4 linked regions of the Pelodiscus sinensis genome follow. The protein of the gene in region 2 purifies or fractionates together with the protein of the main gene of each other region. This does not show direct contact. Links are inferred from orthologs where the notes say so. Each region holds a gene or a part of one and is shown on either strand. Other genes may lie near its edges.

Region 1 (8,100 bases), on a different chromosome or scaffold from region 2:
TTATGCTAAGAGGTTACCTCATCTGCGTGTGTACTGATTTCAGGGAGGAAGCAGGTCTGTAAGAGGATGAAATTCATCTCCCCCCCTACCCTATCTTTCAGAATTTGAACATTTAAGTCTTGAAAAATATTGAAATGTCAGTTATTAGGATGTAAGTGTTGTCAATTAACTGATGAGCAAATGCTTATTGGTTAATGCTACAGACTACATGCATTTCTCACCCCCGCAAGTACATTTTTTTGGCAGGCTGGCCAGCAGCCCAGCTCACGCCCAGCTTGTGCCAGGTCTGGGACTGATCCCTGCTACAGCTCTGCATTTCAAGAGAATTAGGAGCCAGGTGGGCAAGTAGCCTGGCTCTGTTCCAGCTCTCATCGAGGCTGGGAACTCTGACTCCTTCCCCTGGACAGAGGCTGCTGCCACCCTACACTGCTGCCTCTGTGTCAGAGTCAGCAGCGCAGGGCTACAGGCAGCCGGTCTGCAAGGGAAGCTGGTACAGAGGCAGCAGCGCTGAGTGGCAGGGGCCTCCTTGGGAGTGGACTACAGAATAGTTGATTGACCTCATGAATTCTTATAGGTTAATGGACATTTCATTAACCGATATTTAACGTCCCTATTAGTTACTACAGGATCTAACACTATCATAAGTGGAATGTCCACACTTAAGCAGCCTTTACAATGAACACCCCACTGGTAAAGGTATAAATAGCAGGGCAGCCCATGAGTTACGGCTTAGGTGCATATAGCACTCTGCTTTCCTGAGTCCTAGGGTGTATACCATACATGGTGCTTTATGGACCAAAGCAATGGGCTTAAACTGCAGCAAGGGAGGTTTAGGTTGGACATTAGGAAAAAGTTCCTAATTGTCAGGGTGGTTAAACACTGGACTAAATTGCCCAGGGAGGTTGTGGAATCCCCATCTCTGGAGATATTTAAGAGTAGGTTAGATAAATGTCTATCAGGGATGGTCTAAACAGTATTCGGTCCTGCCATGGGGGCAGGGGACTGGACTCGATGACCTCTCGAGGTCCCTTCCAGTCCTAGTATTCTAGGATTCTATGATTGTTTCCTGTATCTATGCTGTGGTAGCATCCTATTACTTCCATGCTGTCTGAGTTTCACCCTGCCATCAGGAAACACTGCAGAAGTGCTAAAAGGGTCTGGCAGTGGGGAAAAGTTCTGACAGCTGAAGCTTTCGCAGTGACCACAGATACAGCCTGCCTTTCACTGCGATGCAGTGCTGTATCCTATGCGCTGCCTCAAGCATGGAAAAGCTTAGACAAAGTGTAAGACTTCCACCATTTAACCTGTTTATCTGGAATGTAAACTGAAGAAGTGACTGACCAATTTATCTTCTAAGACAAGATAAAAACTCATCAGGCTATAAAGCAGCAATCAGTGTCAAGCTGCTGCAACCGTGAGGTTCGCAAGATCTTTTTATTCCTTAAGTGAACCTATTGTTACTCAGTATCATTTGTAATCCACCTTTAGATAAGTTGCTGACTGTTACATTCCAATGATATGTGTGCTTGGAAAACAAGTGCCAGTGAGGAAATTGAGTGGAACTTAAACTTACAGCTGTGGAAGGAAAAAGCAGATCTCTAGAAAGCTGGAATGTATGATTGTAATGGACTTTTTCCTTCACTCCCCTGCTATCCATAGTTCATATCCTGTCAGATACTCACAGGCCTCATTAGACGTGATGTTGGGATAATTGTCACACTCAGAATCTTTGGAGCTAATTATGACTTGAAGCTGCAATAACTCTGTTCCAGCATGAAGCGGCCTTTGACCCCGATTTTGCCATTGGGAATAACCAAAGATGTAATCATAATATCTGCACAAAGAAGCAAAACCAAAAAAGGAAGCTTTGAAGTGAGTAGTGGGCTCTCTACCCCACCCTTGGTCCCCACATTCTGTGCAATGGAGCTAGGGAAATTCTGTTCAGGGAATCACTAGGGATGTCAACATGTAGACAACTACATGATTAATCCATAAGCCCAGGCTTCCCCCTCAGTATCAGAAGCAGCAAGGTGGGGGAAAGCAGTAGCACTCAATCTGCTTCCCCCCTTTTGCTGCCTCTGATACAGACACAGCAGTAGGAGGATCAAGGAGGCAGGTGGGAGCTGGCTTTGCACACCTGCCTGCTCCTCCCTACAGAGGTCGGGGAGAGGCAGGCAGGAGCAGGTGCTGGGGGTGGGAGTGGGAGTAGGCCCAGGCTCCCTGCAGACAGAGACTGCTCTGCAGCAGCGCCTATCCGTGGGGGTCTGAGCTCCCTATGGACAGGGGCTGTTGCCGCACAGCAGTCTCTGTCTGTAGGGAGCTCAGGCCACCACCCCTGGGACAAGGGATGCTGCCACCTCACACTGCTGCCTCTCTTTTTAAACTGCCTCCCCTCACAGTCTGACTTTCAGCTCCCCTCTCCTGCTGCTGTCCCTGACAGAGGCAGCAACTTGGGATGAGACGGGCTCCTGGGGCCAGAGCTCACAGGCTGCCAGGCTCACCTGTGGGGATTACTGAATAGTCGTGTACCTGCTAACAACCCTAGGAACCAGGGCCACCCACCAATGAGCAGCTAGTTATAAAACCAATCAGGAGCCCGTCCGCAGAGGCTCAAAGTCCAGCTGCCTCTCCCCTCCGATGCGGTTGCGCCTAGGAGAAAGGGGAAGTCGCCCTCTGCTTTTCAACCCCGCACAGAGAGCGCCCCCCCTCAGCTGAGCGGGGCCGGGCGGGCTACGGAACAAGCCCCCGGCTCCGCCGACCCCGCCCGGATGGCAAGTGCCGGCCGCGCCCCTCACCTGCGGAAGGCGTCCTGCAGGAGGGCGCAGCCGGGCCCCGCCGTGGAGCCCGGGCCGTGCACCAGCTGGAAGCGGCTGGGGGCCAGCTGGAGCTGGCGAGGCAGGATGCTGAGCGAGCGGGGTAGAGGCCAGAGGGAGCCGGAGGGGGACTCGCCCGGCTCCAGCGGCTCCTCCTGCAGCAGGGGCTCGGGCAGCGGGGGGCGCTGGTGCAGGCTGGAGGCGGCCAGCGCGGCGGGGGCGCACAGAAGCGCCAGGAACAGGCAGGCGGGCTCCATGGCTCGGTGCTGCCTTTGCGATGAGCGCGGGCGGGCTCAATCGATCCCCGGGCCCCGCCTCCGACCCGTCACGAGGCAGCGAGGCGGAGCCGGGCTCCCTGCCTATGGGGCTGGCGCGGGCGCGGCTTCCCCGTGATGCTGTTACAAGGGCCGATTCCTCCTTCCCCCAAACTCTCAGGCGCCGCGCGTTGCCTCGACCGGGACGCCCGCCACGTGTCGGGTCAGCGCGCTGGGCTGCTGCCTCTGGTGGGGTTGTGTTAATAATTCTCCTGGGCGTGAGTGCCACACCCCGCCTTGGAAAGCGAAATGCCTGAGTTCCTGGGGTCGGACTCTTCTCTGCCCGCCCCCTTTTCTTGCCCTTTAAAGAGGAAACCCTCCTCTCCAGTACACTTGAGCAAAGCCTGGACCAAGTGAATGGGAGAAGTTGGTGGATCTGGTTACCCTGCTGCAGCAGCAAGTGACTCTCATTTCATCGCAGCTGGAGTAATGAGGATGACTAGTCCAATAGGCACTTCTGCATGCCTCCTTTGAAATGTACTGGAGCCCCTCGTGTGACTCTCGAACATTTCAAAGGAGGAGTGCAGAACTTTGTGTGCTGCATGGGGTCAGCGGGAAGTCCTGGTGGGGGCTCTCGCGCTTTTCAAAGCAGCAGCGCAGCATGGAGACTGGCGTCAACAGGGGACTCGGGACGGCTGCTTTTGTGGAGAAACTTGCCAGTTGTCTATACTGGCCGTTTGAATTTCCGCAAGAACACTGACTTCCTACTGTCTGAAATCAGTGGTTCTTGCGGAAATACTATGCTGCTCCCGTTCGGGCAAAAGTTGTTTTGTGCAAAAGCTTTTGCGCAATAGGGCCAGTGTAGACAGCTCAGATTTGTTTTGTACAAAAAAGCCCCAATCGTGAGAATGGCAATCGGGGCTTTTTTGTGCAAAAGCGCGTCTAGATTGGCATGGACGCTTTTCCACAAAAAGTGCTTTTTGCGGAAAAGCGTCCATGCCAATCTAGACACTTTTATGCAAATGCTTTTAACAGAAAAGTTTTCCATTAAAAGCATTTGCGGAAAATCATGCCAGTCTAGACGTAGCCACCAGGTTCCAAACCTCTCTGAGGCGCTTACCTTCTAAACAGGGGCTATAAAATCAGTTGTAAGAAAGGAGAAAACTCCAACAAGGTTTTTCCTCATGCTCACATACATTAATCCTAATTCTCTCTCAGTCCCCAGGGAGAGCCCTTGAGAAGGAGCCCTGCTGCTGCAAAGCCATGGGAGTCTTTGAGGTTGCCCCTGCCTTTCACCTCTGTCCTGCCTGGCTGTTGTCAGGGTCCCTCCCCACTAGTGTCCCCTAATAGGCTGAGGTCTTGCAAGAGGCCTTTGTGATGTCACTGCCACACTCACCTTCCCTTGTAAGGCTGGTGTCCTGACCTTGGCAGCCTCTTTGAATGTTTGACTGGCTTCCCCTGGATCATCACGCTTCATGACGGCTGAGTCTGGGGATGAAACTGGATGTACAGTGAAGCCTGAGAGGCTGCTCCCTATGCCACACTCGGTTTTTCATTTTCCAGTTGACTTTTAAGGTCAGAAGGGACCATTAAAGCATCAAATCTGACCAGGGCTGGCCCACAACATTTTTGGCACCTGAGGCGGGGAGCTCAAATGATGCCCTCATGCCTCCTTGCTGCACCAGCAGCAGACACAATTTTCTACACTCTGGGTCCTAATGGTGCTCCCTCTTCCACACACACACACACTCTGGCACCTGAGGCAGCCACCTCAGTTTGCCTCATGGTAAGGCCAGCCCTGAATCTGACCCCTGATATCCCAGCCCTTCTGTAAATCATGGTTGCTATGTTTTTATTCAAGCACACACTACAAAGGCATCTAGTATTCATTAGAAGACATCAAGAAATGGAGGATCTGTCACTTGCTTTGGTAGTTTGTTCCAATGGTGAATTCTCAGCGTGAAGAATTTGTGCCCTATTTGTAAGATGAATTTGTCTGTTTTCACCTTCCAGCCACTGGTCTTGTTCTGTCTTTTTCTGCCACACTGAACAGCTTTTTAATATCTGACATTTTCTCTCTAGGAAGGCACTTAGATATGTCAATGAAGTCACTTCTCAGCAGAGGTAAAAGTAAGGCAGTGCACCCTGGTGCGTCACTCCAGTAAGAACTGGCTGTGCTCCAGCAAGAGCCAGCTGGGGCACTCTACCTGTGTGAAGGGGCCAGCTGGGGGCATGCTGTAGGAGATGATGCAGTGTGTGGGGCTGGCTGCTCCCCTGGCTAGTCCATCAGTGCATACTCTGCTATGTGCCCACTCTTGGCTAGCAGGTTCTCCCATGCACACCCTTACCCATTTCCAGCCAGCACTGGCTGGTGGCTGCAGTGGATGGTGAGCATGGGTAAGCAGTGGCTGGTTACATATCACCTGTGCTGCCCACCCAGCTCCTCTTTACATGTTTTCCCTCTCACTATCCTCTCCCTGCTGTGCCCATTCACCCTCCTCCCCAGCCCCCTTCTTCTCCAAATTCCCCCAGCAGGGGGCGTCCCACTCATAGTGCTATGACCTATGTGGAGAATCAGCCACAGTCAAATTATTCAGCTCACTAACAGCCTGTCTGGCAGGCTCCTTCCTTCCCCAGCTGCCTCTGGTTGCACTGGGACTATGGGCGTCTGGTAGCCTAGGCAGGGGAAGGCTTTGCCTTACCAAACAACCAGGCATGGCCCTGCCCACACTCTGCCCCCAGAATGCCTGCTGTAGGCATTCTGGGGTCGGAGTGTTGCTACCCCCAGCACCTGCCCTCCGCGCTGATCCAGACCAGGGAAGCTGGGGAAGCATGCCACCCTCCCTCCCCAGGCTCTGGGATCTGGGGAGGGCGTGGGCCAGCTCGGGCTACGCAGCCTCCTCCCTCCCTGGTGCTCCGGGGAGGCTGGGGCATGCATGCTCTTCCCCTTCTTGTGATGGTGGGAGGGCACGTGTGTGTTCGGTGCACTTCCCCACCTCCTCTCCTCCCCATGGTGGGGGCAGGGCCTCAGTGGAGGGGATGGGGCTGTAGGTGAGACTGGGTCCTGCCTGGCTAGCTTTTCCATGGCTAGCACCCAGGGAGAGCTCAAGCTCTCTGTCCCAGGGCACTGGCCTGGAAGAACCAAGCCCTGCATGTGCCAAAGCCCCACATGGAGTGGCAGAAAGCTTCTCCACCTCTCAGTTAGCTTCCTCCCCACCACTCCAGAGCCTATTTCCAGCCTGTTTATGACCGAACTCTGCATGTCCCCAGCAGGGCCGGCCCGAGGCATTCTGGCGCTCCGGGCACGGGTGTGCGGCGCCGCCCCAGGGCGCACGGCACATGCACAGGTCCGCCCCTGGGGAGCGGGCCCGCCCTCCTAGGGAGTGTGGGCCCGGCCCCGGGGTGCATGGCACAAGCGCGGCCCAGTCCAGCCCGGCTGTCGCTGCTGGTGTGCGCACCGGGCTGTGTAGGGCCCCATGGCCGTGGGGGGAAGGGCGCTGCTGGCCGGCACCGCGGAGGTGCGGGTGGGCCAGCACTGCAGGAGCCGGGCACGCGGCACCTGATGGCAGCTGTAAGGGAAGCCACGTGCCCCTTACAGTTGCCATCAGGTGCCCCCCATCGGTTGGCGCCCTGGGCAGCTGCCCGGCTCGCCCATGCCTCTGTCCTGCCCTGGTCCCCAGAGAGAGGTGCTCCACACCCTCTTCACATGCTGCTCACTGTCCTAGGTCTGTCTCATCCCCACGGAGTGCTGGGCTGCACTGTCCCTTATGCACCCTCCCAAGCTGAGCCACCAGTTCTGGCCAGGTTGGCTGAAGCTCCTGCAGTCCGGTTTCCTGGGCTCTGGTGCTCCATGCATCCTTGGGGCTTAACTCCTTCCTGCCTGGGCTTTAGCCAGGGAACAGGAGGTGGCGAGGTTGTGTTGGTGGCCAGCAGCAGGTTGGAGATGTGAGCTGCCTTTCTACACTGCAGGCAGGAAGGGACAAGCTGCTTCTGGCGATAGGAAGGCGGGGGATGGTAGGGGACAGATGACCTCTGGAAAAACATGGGCCAGGTCATCCCTACCTCCACCCCCACCCCTATTTCACTGGAAGCAGATCTCAACCCTTCCCTCCTGCACAGTATGGAAAGGCTGCTGCTTGCCATGTTCTGGTGTGAACCCCAACAGATATTTGCAGAGGGGTCATGTGACCCTGCATACCCCACACATGTTGCCTTGAGAAGATCAGGTGCCAGGAGACATGGGTCCTTTCCAGGGACCCAGCCAGGCATTGGAGAGCACTGGGTAGGAAAGGGTGGGTCACGTTGGCCAGTCACTTCCATATCTGTTTGTGAGAGGTGTACCTGAGTGTGTGTGTGTGAGTGTGAGAGAGAGAGAGAGAGAGAGAGCGCAAGCGCTAGCTCCATGCAAACCTCAAAGATAAGAAAGGATCTAAAAAGAGTACAGCTAGCTAGGCAGTATTTCTTTTTAACAGGGGCCCGGTCAACTTGATATTAATTTGAACATTTATACTGCATAGTTCTGATTGATTGGCATTGAACTCACCTGAATGCAAACAGTTTTACCAGGTGTCCCATATTCAGCATAGGAAAATCTGGTCACTCTATTTAAATGGATCTTAAATCCATACTGTCAAAAGTTGCCTACTTTTAAAAGCAATTATCAGAGAAGTCAGGAACTGTGATGAGTGTGGTATAAATAACTGGCCAGGTAGACATATGTAAAAAGTCCATAAACAGGGTCCGCCTTCTTTATGTTATTGAATCTTGTATCTGGTGAGATTCCCACAAACAAAAGCTCCATTATAACCAGGTAAGCATGAGTAGGAGAAAGACAGCCACACCAGTGATTCAAAACAACAAACTGCATCCTCAAATCTCCCTTAAGAGTACTAGAAATTGCCAGCACACATGTGACATGTCCATGTACTTTGGCTAAGGTCAGCATTGAGGTTTTGTGCTGTAGTGCATGTTAGTGATGTGTGTAGTATGTGAGTGCTGTGGTTATTTTAACTTTTTAGAGGTAAAAGGAAGTT
Region 2 (7,426 bases):
GGGTGTGGTGGGGATGGGGGGGGGGTTGGGGGAAGTAATGCAGAAAGGGAGAGGGTAAGAACTCAGCCACACAGCTAGTTGGGGAGGGAGGCAAAGAAATGGGGAGTAAAGGAAAGCACAGCTTCTGCTAAGTAAAATTGTATCCCCCTCACATCTTCCCTCTGCTCCAGCTTTGCTCCTCATAGCACCGTGATGACCCAATACCTCATCCCCTCCCATTCTCCTTCATCCCTCCTACCCCCCATGGGTGGGGAGGGGGTAGATGAGAGTCACTTCCCTGCCTGGCTCAGCCCTTTGCTAAGGCTCACCTTTCACATGAAGGCTGCTGCTCTGGGGCTAGGGCAGGTAGAGCCTGTGGGCAGGTTCTAGTCCAGGTAGGCACTGTGGGGCACTGGGGAAGGGGAACCCCACCCATGCACACACCCCACGAGGAGCAGCACAGCCAGGACCCTGCCATCCCACAAAGGTGGCAGCAGCTTGTCACCAGCCACCCAAGCCTCAGATCTGCAGAGCAGCTCCAGCCCTGTCCCAGAGCAGAGCCTGTAGTGAGAGGGAGTTAACTCCTTAGCTCCTGGGAGCTGCACACCCAGGCTGTGCAGGGGCAGCTCCAAGGACAGAGCCCAGTACAGGTCATGCCACCTGCTCTGCTTGCTGGGCCACCCTAGTCCCCTGCCTCCCTGCTCCTTGCCCTTCCAGCAGGAAGCTGGTGCTGCAGCTGCATGGCAGCCACAAGACTCCAGCCACTTCCAGGAAAGTTCCTATTGTGCATGCCATTCAAAATGGGCTCATGTCACACCTACTGTAGGTTACTGACCCCTGCTATTTAACAAACAGTAATTATTCTGTGGGATTAAGAAAGTTATTTTGGCATCAATATTTTGAGACCCTTGTCAAGAGCCACATGCCTTCAAGGGAGTGTGTGCAATTTCATGCCTTAAATTGAAGTAAGGTATTTTTAAACTCTTCACCTTGTAGTATAAATACTGTGATTTCCTCATCCTTAGCACAGAAGTAATCTTAATTAGCCTCAGTTTATTCTTGAGTTAGGTAAAAGATGTCAACCTTTGTATCATCTTCTGTTTCCATCCCTCTTTAGACAGAAGTTTACTAAACTGCCTATCTGCAGGCAAATTTAGGGTCTACCCAGGTGCTACATTTGGTAATGACTGAAGGCAAGAGTTACAGAGAATGCTGTCCAATAGAGATTTTCCATGGTACTGACTACTGCTTAACTGCTTTAAACCTGCCGAACATTTTCAAAAAGTGAGCCTAGGAGTTTAAAATCATTACTTTGTGAACCTTAAAAATAATGGACTGAACAGACAGCAGAAAAGCCCATTCTCACTTTTGCCTAATGAATGCAGTGGCATTAACAGGGCACACCACCACAAATAGTCCTTTACAATGTATGCTCACTAGAGAAGTAAAATCCTGTTTAATTAGTTAACTGGTTAACCAATTAAACAGGTGGGCGGGAGGCTATTCCACCACCTCAACCTGTGGCACACCCAGGCCAGAGCAGCCCCATGCCACAGGCAAAGGGCTGCTCTAGCTAGGCCCTGACTGGATCAGCCCATATGTGCTGGAGCAGCCCCCACCAGTTAACCCTTCACATACCTAATACTAACCAATTTGTTTCACTTTGCATTTTGCTGTCACCATTCCCAGACCTGCAGAAGAGCTAAGTGGTCTAAAACCTAGTCTCATCAACAGAAGTGGGGCCAATGAAAGTCACTCCTCCCACAAGTCTCTTAGCTTAAGATGTCAGTTATGAAACTACATTTGTCATGCAGTTTTAAGTGGCTGCCTCCCTTTACCAGGAACTACTGCTATGCATATTACTACTTGAGTAAAACTGATGGGTAACACATGCCTTCACCAACACAAGTAAAACTCACCAACACAAAATCCTTGTGTATGTTCATTTACTATTACCTTTTCCCAGGTTACCTTTAGTTTTCCCAGGTTACCTTTAGTTCAACCCAGAAGACACTTCAGTCAGAGCAGCTCTAAACTATCCACAACTTGTGCAATTGCTAGTTAAGAACACAGCCCTCCAGCAGCTTCATAAAAGCTTAAGTTCAATTGCTGTTTTGTTGCCACTATGTACACAGGCAAGCTGAGTCAGTCCTACCAACACTGTCCCTTATACACAGAAGACTTTGCTAAGTCTTCCAGAAGACAGACCATTGCAGCCTGTAGGACATGGGTTCCCAAACTGGGGGCATGAAGAAATTCCAATGGTGCATGAGGTGACCCCCCCCCCCCCCAAAGTTTTTCTGCCCCAGTCAGTTCCTTTTTTTGCTCAACAAGTTTTGCTGGGGCCTGAGCCTTTCCCCAAAAATCAAGAAGGGGGCGTGATGCCAAAAAGTTTGGGAACCACTGCCACAGGATGTATTATGCCAGTGCTAGTGACAACAGGGCCGAGCCGTAAGCCAGCCAGCACCCACATTTGGGCTTTAGTCAATGCGGTCACCAGCAGCTCAGCTCTCTAGGGCAGAGCAGACCTTGGGCTCGGTCCCCACTGATCCCAAGCAGCCTGGGACTGGCGCCTGAAAAAGCCATTTGGAGGGGCAGGCTTGGCCACATGGGTGGAGGAGCTGAGACCCGACCCAAGGAGCCCCCTGCCCTGCCACCCGGGCAGTCCAGGCTCCCAGACCGTTTCCCCCCCCAGCCGAGCTCCCTGCCGCCGCCGCTCGAGGGGAGCGGGCGGGATTTGTACTTTGGAACCAGCCTCTCGTGCTGCTGCGCCGGGAGCTGGAGCGCGCCCCGCCCGCCCGGCTCCGCAGCGCCGCCTGCGCCTCTCGAGCCCCCCCCCCCGGCAGCGACCTCAGCGCCCGGCCCCGCCCGCCGTGACTCGGCACTTCCAGCCGCTCCCCCAGACCCCGGGGCTGAGCTGCCACGGGGGGGGGGGGGGGGGGAGCCGCTGGGCTGCCACCGGGGGGACTGACTCCTCCCCCTCCCCCTCCCCAGCGGGGCCGACCCCGCCCACACCCCCTCCCCGGCCTGACCTGCTGCTCGAAGTTGATGACGCCCTTCACCGCGCCCTCCCCCTGCAGCACGCACACGGCCTTCACCGCCGCCATGTTCTCGCCGCAGCTGCGCGCACACACACCCACGGCAAGCACCCCGCCGAGCCTTTTATAGCGGCCCCGCGCTGCGTGGCCAATCACAACGCGGCCTATTTGCCCGCCTCGGGAGAGGCTCAGCCAATCCAGGCCACCGAATCCGCCGCCCGAACCCACCAATCGGAAGAGGGAGCGCTATCGCCCCCCCCATTCCTAGTCATGAGGGTGACCGACCTTCACTCTGCCTGGAGAGGGTGGGGCCACGCCGCAAAGGCAGCGGACGAGACCAATCCGGGGGCAGGGCTGTGGGAGCATGTCCTACCGCATAGCCCAGCCCCATCCTGCCCTCAGTGTCTGTCCCTCTTGTCCTTTGGGGTTCTTAGTCTTTACTGTGTTTTGCTGGGTGTAAGGCTGTGAGCTTCCAAAGTTACAAATGGGGGGACCTTGCAAAACACACAAGCTGATCTTTCTGAAGCTTTTATAAGGAGACTATCAGGTGATCAGTGTTTCTTACATTAAAAAAGTCTTGATTTTGGAGCATTTATGAAATAATACCTTTTCACTGTGCTGGTTTTCCACACCAGCAGCCTGTGGAGATGGGGCTACATTTCAATGATTCCACTTAGATAAGGCTAAAACAAAATACTGCTACTTCCTTCATTTGAACCTTCTAGTCAGCCAGCCACTACTCAAGCCCTTATATCCCTGCAGAGCTGGATTTTATTATTGTCATTAGCTGGGCACTTTTCACTCAGCTTCTAGGCTCAGCTACTTACTAATAACTAAGGCCCTACCTAATTTATGACCAGGAAGAAGGTGGTCTTTTGTGGGCTGGTCTTTTGTGGGCTTTTACCTTACGCTACACCAGTTTTAAGGGGGAAACCAAAGTCTGCTAACTGAGGGCCAAACTGCAGACAACAACACAGCAGTTACAGTGGTAATAGCATACCATGCCATCCTTACTGCTGTGCTGCTGCTAGCAGCAGCTCTGCCTTCAGAGCTAGGCTCCTGTCCAACAGCTGCTGCTTTCTGTGGCCATCCATCTCTGAAGGCAACACTGTTGCCTGTAACACTGCCGGAGTGAGGGTTGCAGTGCTGCACCTCCACACGCACACAATGGCCTTGCAATCTCCCCACAGCTCCTTTTTGCGTCTGGCTGAAATAATAAAATTTACTATTTTTAAAATCCTATGATAATAAATTGACCAAAATGGACCCTTAGTAATAACCCAGCTAACATATATCTCTCACTCTCATGGAACCTTTGGGACCCATTATTCCATCTTACCCAGATAGTCTACACTGCCAGTTCTTCCGGCAGAAAATTTGCAAATGAGGGACTCATAGCATATTTTCTGCCATTTCTTTTTGTGCAAGAGTGTTTTGTGCAAAAAGAAGCAGGGTGGATTTTTTTTTTTTTGCACAAAAACCCCGTTTTGCACAAGATCCTTATGCCTGTCCTTATTCCAGTCTCATGTCTGCAAGCATTGAGGGTGATAAATATGCACTCGGAATATCACAGGACACATTGAGCATGCTAGAAAGTAGTCCAGCTACATCCTTGCAGAATTTGTGAAATGTAGGGGAAAGGGTTTATGAACACCATAGAAAGCAGATCACAAGAGCACTTTCCAATATGCATGGTAGCTTGGGCTACGTCTACATTGTGCATTCTTGCGCAAGAAGATATGCCGCTTATTTGCAGGCAGAATGGCTCTTGCGCAAAAGCCCTTTGCGCAAAAATGGCAGCTCGTTAGGTATGCAAATGAGGCGCGTTCATCACCGCGCCTCATTTGCATATCTTGTTGCACAACAATGCACAGTGTAGACATAGCCTATAGATAAAATCCTGGCCCCAGTGAAGTAAATGGCACTGAAAAGAAGGGAGCGAGGATGTCATATTACCATTTTTCTAAATATTTCTTGCCAGGAAACTGATAGATATGGCCTGTTTCCTCACTAATACAGAATGTATGGTGTTTTATAATCATCCAAAAAATTTTGTATTTAACACCACAAACCAGTGGAATTTGCCAGTCAGTGGAAAGTACCGGAACTAGCATCCCTCATTTTGGAGCTTAATCAGTTGCTTGTCAAGTATGTCTCTTATGGCTTAAAGCCTTGCCTTGGAGAACTCAGACGTTGCATGGGCTTTTAATATGACATGGGGTAACCTTCTTACACACAAGAAAATAAATGTAAACAAGAACAAATTAAAAAACAGAGTATAAAACAGTCTGATTAAGAATGCCTTCGTCTCACTCAGCTTTCAGTCCCCTCTGTTTTGTAATGTCACAATTTCATGTTGCCATAAAATCTTCCAGGGTAGGCAAGACTTGAATTCCTACTGTTAAAAACGTGATAAACCCTTGTTTCCACTTCATTTTACAAACATTTTTACATCATAAGCCCAGAAGTCTGTTTTTTCCCTTTTCTAAGGCCACCTTTTAATGACTGTGATAGAGTGGGAAATAAATAGCTGTATCAAATAATGAATTTCATTTTGTATTATGAGGTGAACACATGTTTAAGGTTACTTGTACTGCATTCCAGATAGTTGCCCTGCCCAGGAAAGGCATTTGCAAACTCATTGAGAAGCCATCAATACTACAACCTGAGGCCAGTGACTTTGCTTTGTCTCCCAACTGCCGGAATAATGTTGTTACTGCACAGGGGCTCACAGGTGAGGCAAACATCACAAAAGAGGGGTAGTCTTTCCAATTCTGCAGAAGCACATGGACCAGAGACAGAGGGCTTGTCTACATTGGCAAATTACTGTGCTGTAAGTTTTTCACTCAGGGGTGTGAAAAAACACACACCCAGAGCACAACAAGTTACAGGGCTGTAACTTGTCAGTGTAAAGAGGCTCCCAGAGCTGTTAGTTACTACCCACGTGGAGTTGGTTTGCCTAGAGCAGTGGTTCCCAACCGCCAGTCCATGCACTGGTGCTAGGCCACAAACTGCTGGCTGCACACTGCCAGGCCATGCCCATGCCTTGATAGGCCTGTATGCAGGGGGTGTGTGAAGGGTGTGAACGCACCTCCGATGGTCCCTGCGCTGGTCCCTCCCACACCCTGATGGGGGTGTCAGGCCCTTGTAGGGTTGCCAGATGGTTTAACCAAAAATACCCAACATCCCCTTCCCTTCCCCCAAAAAGAAACAATGGAGGAAAAATTCTGGGGGGAGGGGGGGGGGAGAAGGGGGAGACCAAAGTTGTTGAGCAAAAAAAAAGACCTCAAAAGTTATTGAGCAAAAAAATAACAAAATAAATAAAATAAAATAGCATGGCCCTTTTAAGTGCGAGGGGGGAGAGGTTGAGCATTAAAACCCAGGAAAGGCATTGCTTCCCCTTGCTTCAGGTCTTTTTGCAAGCAAGTCTGGGACTCTGAGTCCAAGGGTGTGCACACTGGGGTGGGATAAATATTGGCAGCTAGATAATTTCCTTTTACCTCTGTTGTACTTTGTTAATTGATGTTATTCAGTGTTAATTTGTTAAAGTCTGTTTCTTTAAGTTAAGTAAAGGTTGTTTATTCTAATGAAATCTATTAGATGTATATTATTTATGATTTGTAATTGTTGTTCTGGAGTTAGATCCAGTTTATTGCTGGAATATGTATATTCCTGGAGGTTCCCAAGGCACACCAGTCAGTGTGTTATAGGGCCAGCCAGGTGGAGGCACTGCCATTATATGTTCTTTCTGAGCAAGGGACAGCAGCAAAGGGATGGATAGGGTTTCCCCAACTAAACAACATCACCACTAGGGTACTCAGGATCTCCTTTTACGTTAAAACCATCAGGTGCCCAGGCATACCTGTGAGTGTGACCTGCTCCTGAGTAATCCAGGGAAGGAAAAAGGGGGTTACATATGCATGTATATGCAACCACACTTAAGTTAGGGGGGGAGGGATAGCTCAGTGGTTTGAGCATTGGCCTGCTAAACCCCGGGGCTGTGTCTAGACTGGCAAGTTTTTCTGCAAAAGCAGCTGCTTTTGCGGAAAAACTTGCCAGATGTCTACACTGGCCGCTTGAATTTCCGCAAGAACACTGACTTCCTACTGTCTGAAATCAGTGCTTCTTGCGGAAATACTATGCTGCTCCCATTCGGGCAAAAGTCCTTTTGTGCAAAGCTTTTGCGCAAAAGGGCCAGAGTAGACAGCTGAGATTTATTTTCCGCAAAAAAGCCCCGATCGCGAAAATGACGACCGGGGCTTTTTTGCGCAAAAGCGTGTCTAGATTAGCCAGGGACGCTTTTCCGCAAAAAGTGCTTTTGCGGAAAAGCGTCCTGCCAATCTAGACGCTCTGTTCCAAAAATGCTTTTAACGGAAAACTTTTCCGTTAAAAGCATTTGCGGAAAATCA
Region 3 (7,481 bases), on a different chromosome or scaffold from region 2:
TTGTGCAAAAACACGCCGCCTGTCTACAATGGCTGTGCATTCTTGCACAAGTAAACTGCTGTTGTACTGTAGAAAATTTGGGCTCCTTGCACGAGAACTCTGACGCTCCCTTTCAGGAAGAAGCCCTCTTGCGCAAGAGCTCTTCCAGAAGAGGCCGGTGTAGACAGGCAACATGCATTTCTTGCACAAGAAGCCCCTATGGTTAAAATGGCCATCAGAGCTTTCTTGCACAAGAGAGCGTCTACATTGGCATGGATGCTCTTGCGCAAAAGCACATGCCAGTGTAGATGCTCTCTTGTGGAAGAGTTTTTACACAGGAACTCTTCCGCAAAAGAGTTCTTGGGCAAGAAGCTGCCAGTGTAGACGTAGCCACAGTGTATATGGAGCGACAAAAAGCAAAAGAGAACTATCAACTTTCAATACAACACACAGAAACAAAATGTAAAAAATTTCTTATGCCAGAAACACAATTAAGATGTTAGTAAATTGGACAGATTTAAAATATTTTGTTGTAGACTAGTCTTTCCTATTAAGGCCTTAGTATCCACGGGACTACTTGTCCAATTCTTCTGTTTGAAAAGATGCATTTACAAACCATCTTTCAAAGGAGTAAATAAAATATAAATTGCAAAAAAGAATTCAGAGTCAGCATTCTACAATGAAAAGCTGAAGTGTGATGTTCAGCCAAAACTCTGGCTTTAATTTTGTATAAACAAACATGGATACTATTTTTCCATACATACAACATTATCAAAGCAAGGCTAACTCTGGAATTGGTACTAAACCCCATCCAGAGGCCTTAATAAACTGCCCATTTGAGATGCAGGCATTTTGCAGATAATCCCATTTGGGCTAACTTGAAATTCTGTAGAGAATTAGTTCCAACTGAGAGGCACAAAATGAAAAGGTTTGGCCCTAGGCATAAATTCTTTAGTTCTGAGATTAATTCAGCATTCCTGCTTTCTTTCTTTCTTTCTTTCCAGTCATAGTATATTTACTAGTACAGTGAACCTATACACACTTTGTTAACAATCAAATTTCCCCAAAAGGGTCATAATTAAGCTGTCAAAATGTTAAGTGCACGCTTTCTCAACCTGAATCCTGTCCAATCTTGCATCATCAAAGCTAATAAATACATGAGTAAAAGAAGCAATGTTCCAGAAAGACAAAATGCAAATCACTGTCTGCTCCGCCCCTCCCCTGCACACAAAGGAATCCATCCCCCCTTTCATGAACATATACCCAAAGTCACACAGGTAGGACACTGAGAAGGAAGGTTCAGCCCTGATGTTTAACAGTTATCTATCTTATCTTTAAACTGACTAGTTTTTAAACAAACTCTCCAACATGAAGGATTTTTATCACTGCTCTTATCTCACACATACACTCCATATATACCCCTTTTATAAACATCCATTCCCCCACATAGCTTGCCTCTAAACCATACCCCATATATAAGCATCCATTCCCCCACATAGCTTGCTTCTAAACCTTTGCATACACCCCAATACAGTACACAACCCTCCATGCAAAAATGGACTCCACTGAACTTTACTCAAACAGCAGTCCTGAGGTACTAGGGCTATGAACTGCAAAGTGTGTTGACAGTGCCAAATTAAACACTGTCTAAACATATATTCCCACCCATATATACATACATACTACCCCAAATTGTTTAGTAGCTGTATCTTTTTATTTGTGCAAAAAATGGTTCCACATCAAATTCTCTACAGAAGGGCTTCACTGAACTGCACCAAGGAGTTCACATTAAAAGGGACAGTGATTCAACCTTTGCTCATTTCAAGTTTTGGGAAATGCAACTACTGTACTTCTTCAAAACTCCAGATTTCCTAATACTGAAAATTCTCTCAAATCAGCCCATCCCATACTGTGCATTTGCTCCCAGAAACACCGTGCAGCACTGCAGACAAACTCCCTACATATGGTTCAGCAGTCACCTGCTGCAGATTTTAAAACTCAGTAAAAATGAAATCTAGGGGCAAATTCTGCTTTCAGTTACTCCAGTAAGACCCCATTGAACTCAAAACCAGTAACTGTATTGGACAGTGTAGCCACAGCCGAGGGCAGTATCTGGGCCACTTCATTTCACTAGCCAAGTGACCTGCAAATTGGGAAAGTGGGAGGACAGAGGAAAAAGCGAGGTTGTAGGACTAACACAAGGGGCAGGTGGAGGCCACTGGACTGGGCAGAAGGAAGGGGGGTCTGGGAAGAATTACACGGAAGGCCTAAGATTGGAGGTAGTGATAGAGGATAAGCAGGGGACAGGCTGCACGAGGAGGCAGTGAGAGGGGGACTGCAGAAGGGCAGCCTGCACGGAGGGGTTGATGGGGGGAGGCTGCAAAGAAAGCAGAGCTAGGAGCAGGCCACACAAAGGGGGTGCGGGAGGCGGGCGTGCAGCGTGAGAATCTGTGGGGCTGGTGCCCGGCCGCAGGAGGGGGGCACAAGAGAAAAGTAAGCAGCGTGGGGGGGGCGGCTGCCAGGCCTCATGGGGGAGGAGTAGAGATGCGAGAATCTGTGGGGCGGATGCCCGGCCGCACGAGGGGGGCGCTGGAGGCGGCCGAGAATCGCGGGGATCTGTGGGGCGGGTGCCCGGCCACACGAGGGGGGGCGCAGGAGGCGGCCGAGGAGCACAGGGCTCTGTGGGGCGGGTGCCCGGCCGCACGAGGGGGGCGCAGGAGGCGGCCGAGGAGCACGGGGCTCTGTGGGGGGGGTGCCCGGCCGCACGAGGGGGGGCGCAGGAGGCGGCCGAGGAGCACGGGGCTCTGTGGGGGGGGTGCCAGGCCGCACGAGGGGGGGCGCGGGAGGCAGGCGAGGAGCGCGGGGCTCTGTGGGGCGGGTGCCGGCGCCAGGCCGGAGCCCCGGACTCACCCGGAGCCGGCGGCGGTGGTGGCCCGGATGGAGCTGATGCGCAGCCGGTTGGCCGCGTCCTTCAGGGCCTGCAGAGCCTGCTGGTCGGGTTTGTGATAAGCCTCCATGGTGCGGCGGGAGAGCGCGGGGCCTGGCCTAGGAGCAGAGTGAGGGACCGTCCGCGCCGCCTGCCGGCTCCAGCGAGACACACCCAGGCCGCCGTGGGGCCACCCACAGGCGGGGCCAGCCCGAGCTGCCGCTGGGATTAGCGGGTCGGCGGCCGGGCACGGGGTGGGATTGCCATGGGGATTAGGGCCTGGCGCTCGGGATTAAGGGGTTGGGTGAGGGGTGTAGCGGCGGGAATTAGGCGGCAGCGCCGCAGGAAGTCCCAGGCTACGAGCAAAGGATCTCCCCCCAGTTAGACCCCCCCCCCCCGGGAACAGAAGCTGCTTTCCACTGACTGTGGCTGCGTTTCAATGCGCTGTGCCAAGGCTGTAAACCAAGCACGTGCGAGACACGGCTCGTTACGGCACGTGCAGCGCAACAAGGCAGGGATGGCGCAGCAGATCTGCAGCCTTTCCCCAGCCAAGGAGCCCTACAGGGGTAGGATTGCAGAACCGGCATCCTCTTACCGTTAGATAAAGCTGATCTTTCATCATTCTACTCTATGGCCGTGTCTAGACTGGCTAGTTTTTCCGGAAAATCAGCCTCACCAAAGCCAAATAAAGGGGAATGATGACATCTCTGGATCTGCTGGCAATGCTCCTCTTAATGCAACCTAATATGCCATTAGCCTTCTTGGCTACAAGGGCCCCCTGTTGACTCATATCGAGCTTCTCATCCACTGTAACCCCCAGGTCCTTTTCTGCAGAACTACTACTTAACCGGTTGGTCCCCAGGGACAGAGAGTGTTGGGGTCACTGGCACAAGGGATGTAGGGGTGCAGGAATCAGGATTGATGTGTATGAGGGGCTCAGGGCAGGGGACTGGGATGTGTGGGAGTTGCAGGAGGCAGGGCTAGGGGGTGGGAAGGAGAGTATGTGCAGAGAACCCTGGGATTGGATTACCTTGCCTGGATGGGGCTGGGCTGCTGCACCCAGGCAGCAATGGCTAGATGAGGGGCTGGGCCAGGATTGACACAGCTGGATCATGGCCTCCCCTCCTATCCATGCCACGGAAGAAGATGGGGGACCACCATCAGCCCTTCCTGAGGCCACATGGGGGCTGCTCCTCAGGGCCTGCCTCATCATCCTAGCCAGGGAAAGGATACTGTCCAATTAGGGCCTTGTTGGCCCCAGCTCTGGCACATGGTGCAAGCTGCCTGCCACAGCTCCAGCCCGGGGGGGCTTTTAAACTGGCTCCCCCCAGCAGTGGCTCCTGCCTGCCTCCCCCCACCTCTGTAGGAGGGAGTGGGCAGGGGAGGGGAAGAGAGAAGGTGGGTCTGCAGAGCTGATACATGTAGAGATCCTACTTGAAATCTGGCTTCCTGCATATATCAGCTCCAGCCTACCGCCTCACCCTCTGCCTCTCTATCAGAGACAGCAGCGTGAGGGTCAGGGGGGCAGGTGGATCTGGCACTGGGGGGAGCCAGCTTTTAAACCGGTTGCTCACAGGCACTGGCTCCTGCTCGCCCCTTGCTGCCTAGGCTTATTGGTTAATCATGTACAGGCGGTCCCCGGGTTACGCGGATCTGACTTATGTCGGATCCGTACTTACGAACAGGGCTTTTCTTGCCCCGGAGGACGCGGGCGGCAGGACCGCCCAGACGTGCCGCGGTCCCGCCGCTCGCGTCCTCCGGGGCGAGAAAAGCTGCTCCGCGTCTTCCTGGTCTGCTTGGGGGGGCCCCCAGCAGACCAGGGAGATGCGGAGCAAAGCCGCGGCGGGACCGCCCAGACGCGCCGCAGTCCCGCCGCCCGGGTCCTCCGCGGCTTTGCTATAGTCAGCCGCTGGTCAGTTTCAGCAGCGGCTGAATCTGGATGCCAGTTCCGACTTACGTACAAATTCAACTTAAGAACAAACCTACAGTCCCTATCTTGTACGTAACCCGGGGACTGCCTGTAGTCGACTACATGGTGGCTCCCCTAGTCACAATTCATGTTTCTCTCCCTCATTACTGAGAGGTTTTTTTTTTTTTTTACAAGGCTGCAGAGTTCCCCAAAGACACTGAATTTCCCGGAAAGTCAGACTGCCTCTTGAGGCCTGCTTTGTTTCCCCCTCAGAGACTATGAACAAGATAAGTATTCACAGTTATAGGGTACTATACAGCATTTCTAAAATAGACAAAATACAGGACAATGTAGCACTTTAAAGACTAACAAGATGGTTTATTAGATGATGAGCTTTCATGGGCCAGACCCACTTCCTCACATCACATTTCAGAACAGAAGGGGGATGCAGGCGGGGGGGGGGGGGGAAGGAAGGTAAATGTCTGTGAGCTAATGGTATTAGAGGTGATAATTGGGGAAGCTATCTTTGTAATGGGTAAGGTAGTTGGTGTCTTTGTTGAGCCCAACACGTAGAGTGTCGAATCTTAGCATGAATGACAGTTCAGAGGATTCCCTTTCAAGTGCAGATTTGAAAGGCTTCTGGAGTAGGATGCAGGTAATTAAGTCATTGAGACAATGTCCTTTCTGCACTTGAAAGGGAATCCTCTGAACTGTCATTCATGCTAAGATTCGACACTCTACGTGTTGGGCTCAACAAAGACACCAACTACCTTAACCATTACAAAGATAGCTTCCCCAATTATCACCTCTAATACCATTAGCACACAGACATTTACCTTCCTCCCCCCCTCCCTGTACCCTTTCTGAAATGTGATTTGTCCTTTTCATATGTGTTCACTTTTTTTTTAATTGTATCCTTTAGTATATATGGTTGTGACTATTTTCTTCCACTATTTGATCTGAGGAAGTGGGTCTGGCCCACGAAAGCTCATCATCTAATAAACCATCTTGTTAGTCTTTAAAGTGCTACATAGTCCTGGATTTTGTTTCAGCTACACCAGACTAACATGGCTACATTTCTATCACTAAAATAGACAGGTTCATTTGTAAGGTGAAAACGTTGCACAAAAAAATAAGAAAGGGACCAACGTACAGACTAATAAGTTTATCAGAGATCATCCCACCTCCCAAAAGAGCTGTGGTAGGAGTCAGTCCTTCAGACCCGATGGCTATGTCTAGACTGGCATGATTTTCTGGAAATGCTTTTAACGGAAAAGTTTTCCATTAAAAGCATTTTCGGAACAGAGTGTCTAGATTGGCACAGACACTTTTCCACAAAAGCACTTTTTGCGGAAAAGTGTCCGTGCCAATCTACACGCGCTTTTCTGCAAAAAAGCCCCAATCGCCATTTTCACGATCGGGGCTTTTTTGCAGAAAACACATCTGGGCTGTCTACACTGGCCCTTTTGCGCAAAAGGACTTTTGCCCGAACAGGAGCAGCATAGTATTTCCGCAAGAACACTGACAATCTTACATGAGATCATCAGTGCTTTTGCAGAAATTCAAGTGGCCAGTGTAGACAGCTGGCAAGTTTTTCCGGAAAAACTGTCCAGTCTAGACAGAGTCCATATGGTTACAAGTGTATTACACCTTTTGCTTAAAACAATAGCACCTTTGCATAGAACGTCTCACAGGGCTAGTCGTGTTAGTCTGTAACTTTAAAAACAACGAGTAGTTCTATGGCACCTAAGAGACTAAACAAAAATAACAGAAAAAAGGTATCTGTTAATTGTAGGACCGCTGCTAATGAGGCTAATTAAGTGGGCTAGGTGTGTCCCATATTTAGCCTTTGATGTAACAATGAGGTGTTAAAAGCAGAGGCGACTTAGTTAATGCTAGGTTAGTTTGAGCTAAGGATGTTAAATTTCGATTAATTAGCTACTTGAGTAATCAATTTAGTTTCCATCAACAACTCGATTAGTTGCGCTTGCTATTCCAACAGTGCCCTACCTTTTCAATGTAGTAAGAGCTGCTCGTGGCTCTTACTACATTTAAAAGGCAGAAGAGCAACAGGAAACACAGGAGGAGTGGGGATTGCTTGAGTCCCCGCTCATGCTATTTCCTCACTGTGCCTCTGCGTCCCGTGTCCCTCCCATCCCCCACAGAGACGGAGCTGGAGGGGAACTGGATTTTAAGCCGGCTCCCCACATTGCCTGTCTCTGATAGGCTTATCGGGTAGTTGACTAATCTACTACCCACTTACATCCCTAGTTCAAGCCCAGTGAATCAGTGTCAAATTTGCAGATTAATACCAATTCTGCACTCTCCCTCTGTAATGGTGTGGTGAAATTCCTTTGTAAAAGAATGGCTACTTTTAAATCCATGATTGGGTGCTCAGGAAAGTTAAAATGTTCCGTTATAAGTTTTTGAGTTATCATTTTTTATGTCTGATTTGTGTCAGATAGGTAGCCTTTCCTTGACACAATCTGGGTGTTTGCTCTGTAGAGATTGTGAATAGGCAATGAACCAGATAATGGGCTCTCTCTTCAGGACATAGCTTCTGCTCCCAAGGTGGGAGTTTGCATTTCTTCTCCCCTTTAAGTATTTCCTAGTAAACTCACTTAACTTTGGAGGAGTAGCAGAGTTAGCCTATGTCTAGACTGCAGG
Region 4 (8,022 bases), on a different chromosome or scaffold from region 2:
AGCTGCTTGGAAGAGACACCCCCCCCCCATATCATGTCCCTGGGTGCCCCTTGACTCCAGATGGGGAGGTCACCTCAGGGCAAGTGCCACCCTAGAGTTGGTATCTCACAGCGACTGCCTAGTCCCAGCACCCCCCCCATATCCCTGCCCTGGTGCCCCTCTGGGGCTCTTATGCCCCAGGTCAGTGTCCCGCTCACCAGACACCTCCACCTTGTGCTGGCCATGGGGGTGGAGTGACAGTATTAGTCCATCCCCCCCCCCCGCCCCCAGCAGCTCATGCACAAGTGCTGCCAGTCACCCTGCCCCCGCCCCAGACCTGTAGGCGATCCCCTCGTCCTCTTTCAGCACCCCGTAGTCGGTGGCCATGCTGTGGGTGAGATCTGACAGCAGGGGGAAGTTGATGGCACCCAGCCCCCCGTCCTTCCGGGGGGTGTTGATCCTACCAGGAGACAAGGGGGTTAGTCTCATGCTCCCTCCAAGCCTAGCCACATCCCTGCGCCCCCAATTCTCCCCCAAGTTTAGATCTGACCCAGCTCCCCACTAGAGGCACCCCAGGGAATGAGCTGCCTGACCCCAGGGGTGCTGTCTTGGGGCCACAGAGCAGACGTCACCCGGCCCTTTTCCAGCCATGGGCCAGACTCACAGCATCGGCAGCTTGGGGGCAGCTGCTCACATTAGGGACACCCGCCCCCCCCACCCCCCAAGGCTTGGAGCGGACACATCCATGTTAGACAAGATCTGAGGACCTGAAACAGTGCTCAGATGGGGGGCGCACAGGCTGGTAAACCCCCACACTGCACATGGGTCATTCCCTGCCACCAGGGCAGGCACATGCCAGATTAGCCAGCCACTCCCCACCCCCATCACGGGCCCGTCTCCGGCCGACCCCACTGGCGAGGGGTGATAAGGATGCTCTCAGAGGCCACCCCAGATAAAGCCAGCAGGACCCCGCCCCTCTAGGACAGCGGGTAACGGCTGCTGGATTCTAGCCCAGCACTTCACAGCCAAGGAGGGACGTACCCTGCCCCCGTCGGGCCAGGGAGCACGACACCGTCGGATGGTTTAGGAGGCTCTGGAACAGGCCGGGAGGGGCAGTTCCAACCCCCAGGGCTCTGATCCCTCCAACCCTTCCCTGCCCGAGGGGCCTGGTTAAGCAGGTGAAGGGAACCCCTGTCTCAACTACATAGGTTGCGCTCCAGATCTCACAGCCCCATTGCACCAGGGGGCCTGGTTTGGCACCAGCCAGCGGTGCCAGGCCCCCATAGCGCCGACCCGGCAGGAGCCTGCCCTGGCCTCACCCATCCCAGGGCACTTCCGTCTCCAGTCCAGGGCACCTGGGAAGGAGAGAGACTCGCGGCACTAGCCAGGGGCCCTGGCCACGCACCAGGCCAGGTGGCTGAAGTGGGAGTCCACGGAGGCGCCCAGGACCTGGCACTGCAGCTGGCGGAAGTCCTCGGCATGCTCGCTGAAGGCGATGATCTCGGTGGGGCAGACGAAGGTGAAGTCCAGTGGGTAGAAGAACAGCACCACATACTTGCCTGGGGGGGGGGGGGGGAAGGGGGACAGGTCAATGTGGGGGGTAGCAATGGTAGGGGGTGCCACTGATCGAGATGCTGCTTGGGTCTGGGGGGAGCCAGTCACATTGACTGAGGCCTTGTTTGCAAGCCAGCTGATGAGGGAACCCTGTAGCCAGTGGTGCTGGGATTGGCTAAGCACCAATCACATGCCAGCTGACCTGGTTGGCCAGGGAGCCCCCCCCGCCCCCATTTATTCTTTAAAGAGACAGCGCAGCACACTGGCCTGCACAGCAGTGGAAGGACAAAACTCCCAGGCACCCCCCCCCCCAGGGCCTTAACCCTGCCCTACAGGGACACCCCCCAACCCTCAAATGGGGGCCTCTTCAGTCCCCAGCTGCTCTGAGAGGCTGGACCCAGTCAGGCTGTCCCAAAACCAGCCAACTCATGTCACCCATCATCCAGTTCTCATCGCCCAGGGCTGGAGCTGAACTGGGCACCCAAGTCATGGCTGTGACCACACCCCGACAACCCCCCAGGCTGGCAGATTCCACCCTCTGGCACCAGAGTGCCCCAGTATTCCCCACCCTGTGCAAGCAGCGTTTCCAGGTAACCTAGCTGCAGCAGGGAGCAAGGGAGAAGCACTGGCCGGGGGGCGCCCGCTGCCTTCGGTCAGCACCCCAGGATTAGCAGGGCCTCTGCACAGCCCTTGGCCTGGTTCCTCTCACCTCTGTAGTCGGAGAGCTGGATCTCTTTGAAAGCCCCGTCCACCACGGCAGTGGCACGGAAGCCTGGGGCGGGTCTGCCGATGTGAGCGTTACCGCAAGCCATGTCCTGCGAGAGAAGCCGGGGTCAGGCTGGCTGCTGTGATGAGACCCCCAGTTCTCTGCAGCATTGCAGAGGGGCAGCTCCGAGCTGGACCAGACAAGCAGGTAGAGGGTGGATTTCCCAGCCCACTCCCTGCTCCGGTTTCAATGCGTGGACAATCCCAGCTTCAAGCCCTCCCCACTCCCAACCCATGGCTCATCACACCAGCTGTTTTAGCTTGGCACTAGGAATGCTGGCCCAGGGGGAGGAGAGCGTATTACCCTGCACTAGCTTGGCAGCCCCTGGGGTGGGACCTTTCGGCAGAGCCCAGAAGAGGAGCCATCCTTCTGCCCAGACAGGCACAGCTGAGTTGCTGTGAACCCTGCCCCCTCCCTCCATCAGCCACCCGTGGGTGAGTGGCACTTTGCACATACAAAGCACTTCTCATCCCAAAATCCTGCAACCCAACCCATCCAGGATCTGGCAAACTGGATGGAGCCGCTGGGGGGGGGGGGGGGGGGGGGAGCGGGACAATGGAGCGAGGCTGCAGCCAGCTCGGGGCGCACCAGCAAGAGCAGCCGCGTGGGAAGCGCAAGCCGGCAGCCGGGGCTGCAGCGACTGGAGGGAAGAGGATAAAAGCCCCCCCCCCCCCGCATTACAACCCCCACACGGGGATAGAGGCCTCAGAGCTTAGACTTCAAGCTGGACCCCCCCCCCTGCACGCAGGGGCTCCCGGGGCAGCCTTTAACCCCCCCCCCGCTTTAGAGCGGCCCCTTTGCAAACACGCAGCCTCGTGCACCCTACAGCGCCAAGCCCGGCTGCAGAAATGCCCCCCCCATGCCCGGCTGCGCGAGGCACCCACCTTGTCCTTTCCCGCGCGCGCCCACAATGCACCAGCACCTACCCCCGCAGCGCGTGCACGGCTCGCCCCCTGCGGCCTGCAGCCGGGTCTTATAGCCACCCCGCCCCCTCCCACGCCCCTTCCCCTCCGGGCTGGGCTGGTCCATTTGGAGCCGGGGGGGGGGGGAGGTAAAGGAAAGGGGTGAACTGAGAGATGGAGACCGGGGTGTGGGGCAGAGTTAGATCTCCCAGCCCAAGGGGACCCACCACCCGCATGACACGTGGAGGCGGGGGGCGTGGAGCCACGGATCCCCGCATTGCACGTGGGGGGCAGGGCTATGGGAGCCCCTGCGTTGCCCAGAGGGGGGCGGGGTTAGAGGCTCTCCCTGCATTGCATAGAGGGAGCGGACAGTGCTATGAGCCCCCCCCCCCGCATTGCACGCGGGGACAGGGCTATGCCCCCCCCCAGCATTGCACGGGGGGGGGGGCAGACACTCCCCGTTGCGGTGCATGCAAGGTGGGGTTGCAACGCTGCTCTGCAAAAGCGACAAGGAGTCCTGTGGCACCTTATAGACTAACAGATGGATTGGTGCATAAGCTTTCGTGGGCAAAGACCCACTTCATCAGATGCATGCATCTGACGAAAGATTGCGCTCCAATCCATCTGTTAGTCTATAAGGTGCCACAGGACTCTTCGCCGCTTTTGCAGATCCAGACTAACATGGCGACCCCTCTGCTACTTAATGCTGCTCTGGAATCCCACAGCCCATGACGGAGAGGCTCCCCTATGGGGCTAGCACCAAGCTCTGGGCTGACTGGGTCTATTCATCCCTGGTGGCTCTGCTGAGTCCGTTTATATTGATTCCCTTGGCCTGAGCGGCGGAGAGTTTCACCCCCCAGCCTCCGTGCCTCAGTTTCCCCACTGGTGCAATGATTCCGAGCCTCTTAGGCTTCGGAAGGGTGGGTGGAGGGGGGGATTAGGACATAATTTTAGGGTGGTTCCGGGGGTGAGGCTGTGGTTTTATGAATGGCCCTGTGAGCTGCACAAGAGTTTACCCATGCACATGCCCCGGAGCCCACATAACTCCCCCATGGCCCTCCCCAGATGCCCCCTAACTGCGGCAGCCCTCATTCCTAAAGGCCACCCCGTGCCCTACACAAGCACTGGTGAGCCCTGTGGGAATGGGAGTGACATGAGGCCTTCCCCCTCCGAGGGAATCTGAGCCAATCTCAGGGACTGTTCTGGAAGCTCCTAATAAGAATCTGTGGGGCTCAAGCCCCCGCCCCCCCAACTATCAGTGGTTGCTCTTAAAAATAGCAACGGGTGATTAATTCAATTAATCTGGTGTAAACGTATCCAGGAGCCCCGACACCCCCCCTACCCTCAGGCAGGAATAGAGTTCTGGCCCCCAGCTCCTGCTCTAACCGCTAGACCTCACTCCCCTTCTAGAATTCGGATAGAACCCAGGAGTCCTGCCCCCCCACCCCCAGCTCAAGCATGGTGCTGTCCCCTGTTTTAGAACTACAACTCCCAGGGGTCTGTGCGAGGCCGGCCCCGCCCTCTGGGCCGGGCGCGCGGAACATGGAGCTGGGGGAGTTCGAGCGGGACAATGCGGGCAGCTGCCGTCTGGGGTCCGCCGTGCCCCAGCTGTGCAAGGCCGGGCCCTGCTGCCTGGGCATCGACGAGGCCGGCAGGGGGCCCGTGCTAGGTACCGGGGGGGACCCCAGGATTGCACGGGGGAGGGGCTTGGGAAACACCAGTGGGGGCTGGGCAGGGGAGACCCCCCCCCCAGAGTTGCACGGGGGAGGGGCTTGGGAAACACCAGTGGGGGCTGGGCAGGGGAGACCCCCCCCCAGAGTTGCACGGGGGAGGGGCTTGGGAGACCCCCCCCGATATTGCATGTGGGGAAGCCCTCTGCATTGTATAGAGCAGAGTCCCTCTTCCGCGTCGCCTAGAGATGGGGGGCAGGGGCCCATCCTGAGTGATCGGGAAGGGCCCCTTCCTACCTGCTGCGGTGGGGGTAGCCCCCTGTAAAGTGAGGGAGGGACCATGGGGGTTGGAGCACAAGGTATCCCAGGATTTCGCCCCGTCCCTACTCCCTGGTGGGGAGGTGGGTCCAGCTGGGGAGCCCATAGCTGGCAGGGAATTAATAGCACCCAGGGAGATAGAAGGGCCCTGCCCCATTACCTCCCTCCCCATAGCCTGGGTAGGGCTGGTCTCCTCCTCCCCCCATGACCCTGTCTCCCTCCCAGGTCCCATGGTCTATGGTGTCTGTTACTGCCCCTTGGCCAAGCAGGAGGAGCTGGGAGCTCTGAAGATGGCAGGTAAGGACAAAAGCATCACAGGGGATGGGAGGCAGAGTTGGGGGGCACCCTGGCTTCCTGTGAATGCCCCCTGTGGGGAGAGATCTTAGGTGGGGGATTCCAGCCCTGACCACAGAGGCAGAGAGAGGGGGAAGGGTCTGGAGAGCTGAGGCTTGGGGTATGGATCTCGGGGTGGGGGGGGGAGAGTGGGGGCAGGGGTAGTGGACTGTTGGGGGGGAAGGGCCCCAGAGAGGGAATGTTGGATCATGTGGGTCCCCCCAGGGTCTCACTGAAGGCCGAGGCTTCCGACAGTCGTGCCCCTCTCCCCCACCCCCCAGACTCGAAGACGCTGACGGAGACTGAGCGGGAGAAGCTGTTTGGGACGCTGGACGGGGCCAGGGACTTTATCGGCTGGGCCCTGCATATCCTCTCGCCCAACCTCATCTCCACCAGCATGCAGCAGCGGTGAGAGCCCCGGGGAAGGAGGTGTGCATGGGCTCACCAGCCCCCCCATTCCCCCTCTGCCTGAGCCGCCCCCCCTAGCCAGTCAGGCCCCCCGCCTGGGGCTGAATCAGCCAGCGCTGAAAGGCCACGTGTCCCTGCCTGTGCTAACCCTCCGAGCCGAGTCCCGGGAGGAAGTGGAGCCTCCAAGAGGTTGCTCTATGTCCAGGCGGTGCCTGGCATGGTGGGGCCCAGGTCTCCAGCAGATACTGACCCCTCTGCTCTCCCGGCCAGGGCGAAATACAACCTCAACGCCCTGTCCCACGACACGGCCATCGGGCTGATACAGCACGTGCTGGACGCGGGCGTACAGGTGACAGAGGTGAGCAGTGTCCCCGTGGGGCAGGTGTCTGCCCCCCAAGTGTCCCAATCCCATCGCCAGCCTTAGCCAGTGGGCATAGCGCTGACATGACGCTTGCTCCCCCACTTCCTGCCACCTGTGCCTCAGTTTCTCTATGCAGCAACGAGGCAGCCACCTCCCCATGTGGGGCCCTGGTCCCAGCACAAGGTTTAGTGGGGCGGGGGAGAGGGAAGAGCAGTGTGTTGCCCATAGGCCTGGCTTCCACTCTCATGGGGTCCCCCCCACCCCGGCAGGTCTTTGTGGACACGGTGGGGCCGGCGGAGAAGTACCAGGAGAAGCTAAAGCGGCACTTCCCGGAGCTGGAGGTGACCGTGAGGCCGAAGGCTGATTCCCTCTTCCCCATCGTCAGTGCAGCCAGCATCTGTGCCAAGGTGAGGTTTTGGGGTCCTCTCTATGTTGTGGGCCCCCTCTTCAGGAGAGGGCTGGAGTTGCCAGACCTCCTGCCCTCCTCGGAGCACTGGGCCTGGGTGGGACAGGTCTGTGAAATATGGGGCACCCCAGATCCACTTATTGGGGTGCTACTGGTTGAACTAATGCGGGGATTCAGCTTCACTTCCTGTCCCAAACGCTGTGCGGCGGCGCAACAGCTCTTGCGCTCCTCCCCAGAGGTGGCTGCATCTCACGGCTGGGTGACGGGTCCCTGAATGAACAGCCTGGCAAAGGGGCGGGCTGGGGGCAGGAGAGAGTGCTCCTCGAGGCGCTGCCCTGAGCCGCCGCCTGTCTGCGTTGGCAGGTGGCGCGGGATCGTGCTGTGAAGAACTGGCGGTTCCTGGAGGATCTGGGGGACGTGAGCCTGGAGTATGGGTCTGGGTACCCCAATGGTAAATGGCCCTTCAGGGGCAGGGATCCGTCTGATCGCGGGGTGGAGCTTAAGATAAACCCTGGCCGGCCCATGTGGCTCCATATCCCGCCCCCTCGCCCTGTCTCCCACCCAGCTCCAGGAGTTACCTGCTCCCTTCTTTCACTGGGTCCAGGCTCTTGCACCTCTTACGGGCAGGGGGAGGGGGTCTGTGCTGCCCCCCCTCCCCCACAGCCTTCCTTAAACCCCCTTGGCTGCATCAGCCTGGATTTGCCTTCCAGAGACGCAGGCGAAGGTCATGGTGCTGAGGTTATGGGGCAGGGCAGTGATGAAACTGGGCGGAGAAGCCAGGATTGCTGGCTCCCAGCCCCCGGCTCTAACCACTAGACTCTTCTCCTCCCCGAGCCAGGGACGGAACCCAGGAGTCCTGACTGAAAAGCTAACGCCGCCAGTTGGTGGGGGTGGGGAAAGCAGCTGTGAATGGTGGTTTTGGGGGCTCCCTTGTTTTCATCTCTCCCTGTCCCCCAGACCCGAAGACCAAGGAGTGGCTGGCGCAGTGCCTGGACCCCGTGTTCGGGTACCCCCAGTTTGTGCGCTTCAGCTGGAGCACGGCCCAGACCATCCTGGAGAGCAAGGCGGTGCCGGTGCACTGGTAGGCGATGCAGGGGAGGGGCTGGCCTCAGTCTGACCCTGCCCCCCACGACTGGGTCCCCCCCACCGCAACAGTGATGGGCTCTAACAAGCTCCAGGGCCCACGGGCGCTGCCTGTAGCGGCTCGGGGGAGCTGGCTCCGACATCTAGCGATAGCCCTGACACCCTCCACGATGCCCCTGGGCCTGCTGCCCTCCTCCCCTGGCACGCGTGAGACTGGCTCAGCTCCCCTTCCCCTCTGCCTC

Evidence for each region.
Region 1: the proteins of SOD1 (region 2) and HEXB purify together in Homo sapiens (affinity purification with mass spectrometry; 3 studies listed by BioGRID and IntAct, with this or other methods). This does not show direct contact. The link is inferred for Pelodiscus sinensis from reciprocal best matches to the Homo sapiens genes SOD1 and HEXB.
Region 3: the proteins of SOD1 (region 2) and TKT purify together in Homo sapiens (affinity purification with mass spectrometry; 3 studies listed by BioGRID, with this or other methods). This does not show direct contact. The link is inferred for Pelodiscus sinensis from reciprocal best matches to the Homo sapiens genes SOD1 and TKT.
Region 4: the proteins of SOD1 (region 2) and PRDX2 fractionate together in Homo sapiens (co-fractionation; 3 studies listed by BioGRID, with this or other methods). This does not show direct contact. The link is inferred for Pelodiscus sinensis from reciprocal best matches to the Homo sapiens genes SOD1 and PRDX2.

What each region holds. Positions count from the first base shown.
Region 1 is NC_134716.1:83,964,252-83,972,351, reverse strand, and holds the start of HEXB (beta-hexosaminidase subunit beta), read right to left. Parts: upstream 3,339-8,100; 5' UTR 3,071-3,338; coding exon 2,796-3,070; intron 1,835-2,795; coding exon 1,683-1,834; intron 1-1,682. UniProt on the Homo sapiens protein: Hydrolyzes the non-reducing end N-acetyl-D-hexosamine and/or sulfated N-acetyl-D-hexosamine of glycoconjugates, such as the oligosaccharide moieties from proteins and neutral glycolipids, or from certain mucopolysaccharides.
Region 2 is NC_134711.1:182,146,562-182,153,987, reverse strand, and holds the start of SOD1 (superoxide dismutase [Cu-Zn]), read right to left. Parts: upstream 3,171-7,426; 5' UTR 3,087-3,170; coding exon 3,012-3,086; intron 1-3,011. UniProt on the Homo sapiens protein: Destroys radicals which are normally produced within the cells and which are toxic to biological systems.
Region 3 is NC_134721.1:30,856,607-30,864,087, reverse strand, and holds the start of TKT (transketolase), read right to left. Parts: upstream 3,241-7,481; 5' UTR 2,997-3,240; coding exon 2,890-2,996; intron 1-2,889. UniProt on the Homo sapiens protein: Catalyzes the transfer of a two-carbon ketol group from a ketose donor to an aldose acceptor, via a covalent intermediate with the cofactor thiamine pyrophosphate.
Region 4 is NC_134729.1:13,226,271-13,234,292, reverse strand, and holds the start of PRDX2 (peroxiredoxin-2), read right to left. Parts: upstream 3,338-8,022; 5' UTR 3,184-3,337; intron 2,349-3,183; 5' UTR 2,346-2,348; coding exon 2,243-2,345; intron 1,539-2,242; coding exon 1,385-1,538; intron 440-1,384; coding exon 317-439; intron 1-316. Other genes in the region: RNASEH2A (ribonuclease H2 subunit A), read left to right, coding at 4,744-4,870, 5,415-5,486, 5,804-5,930, 6,201-6,288, 6,561-6,698, 7,061-7,148, 7,655-7,778.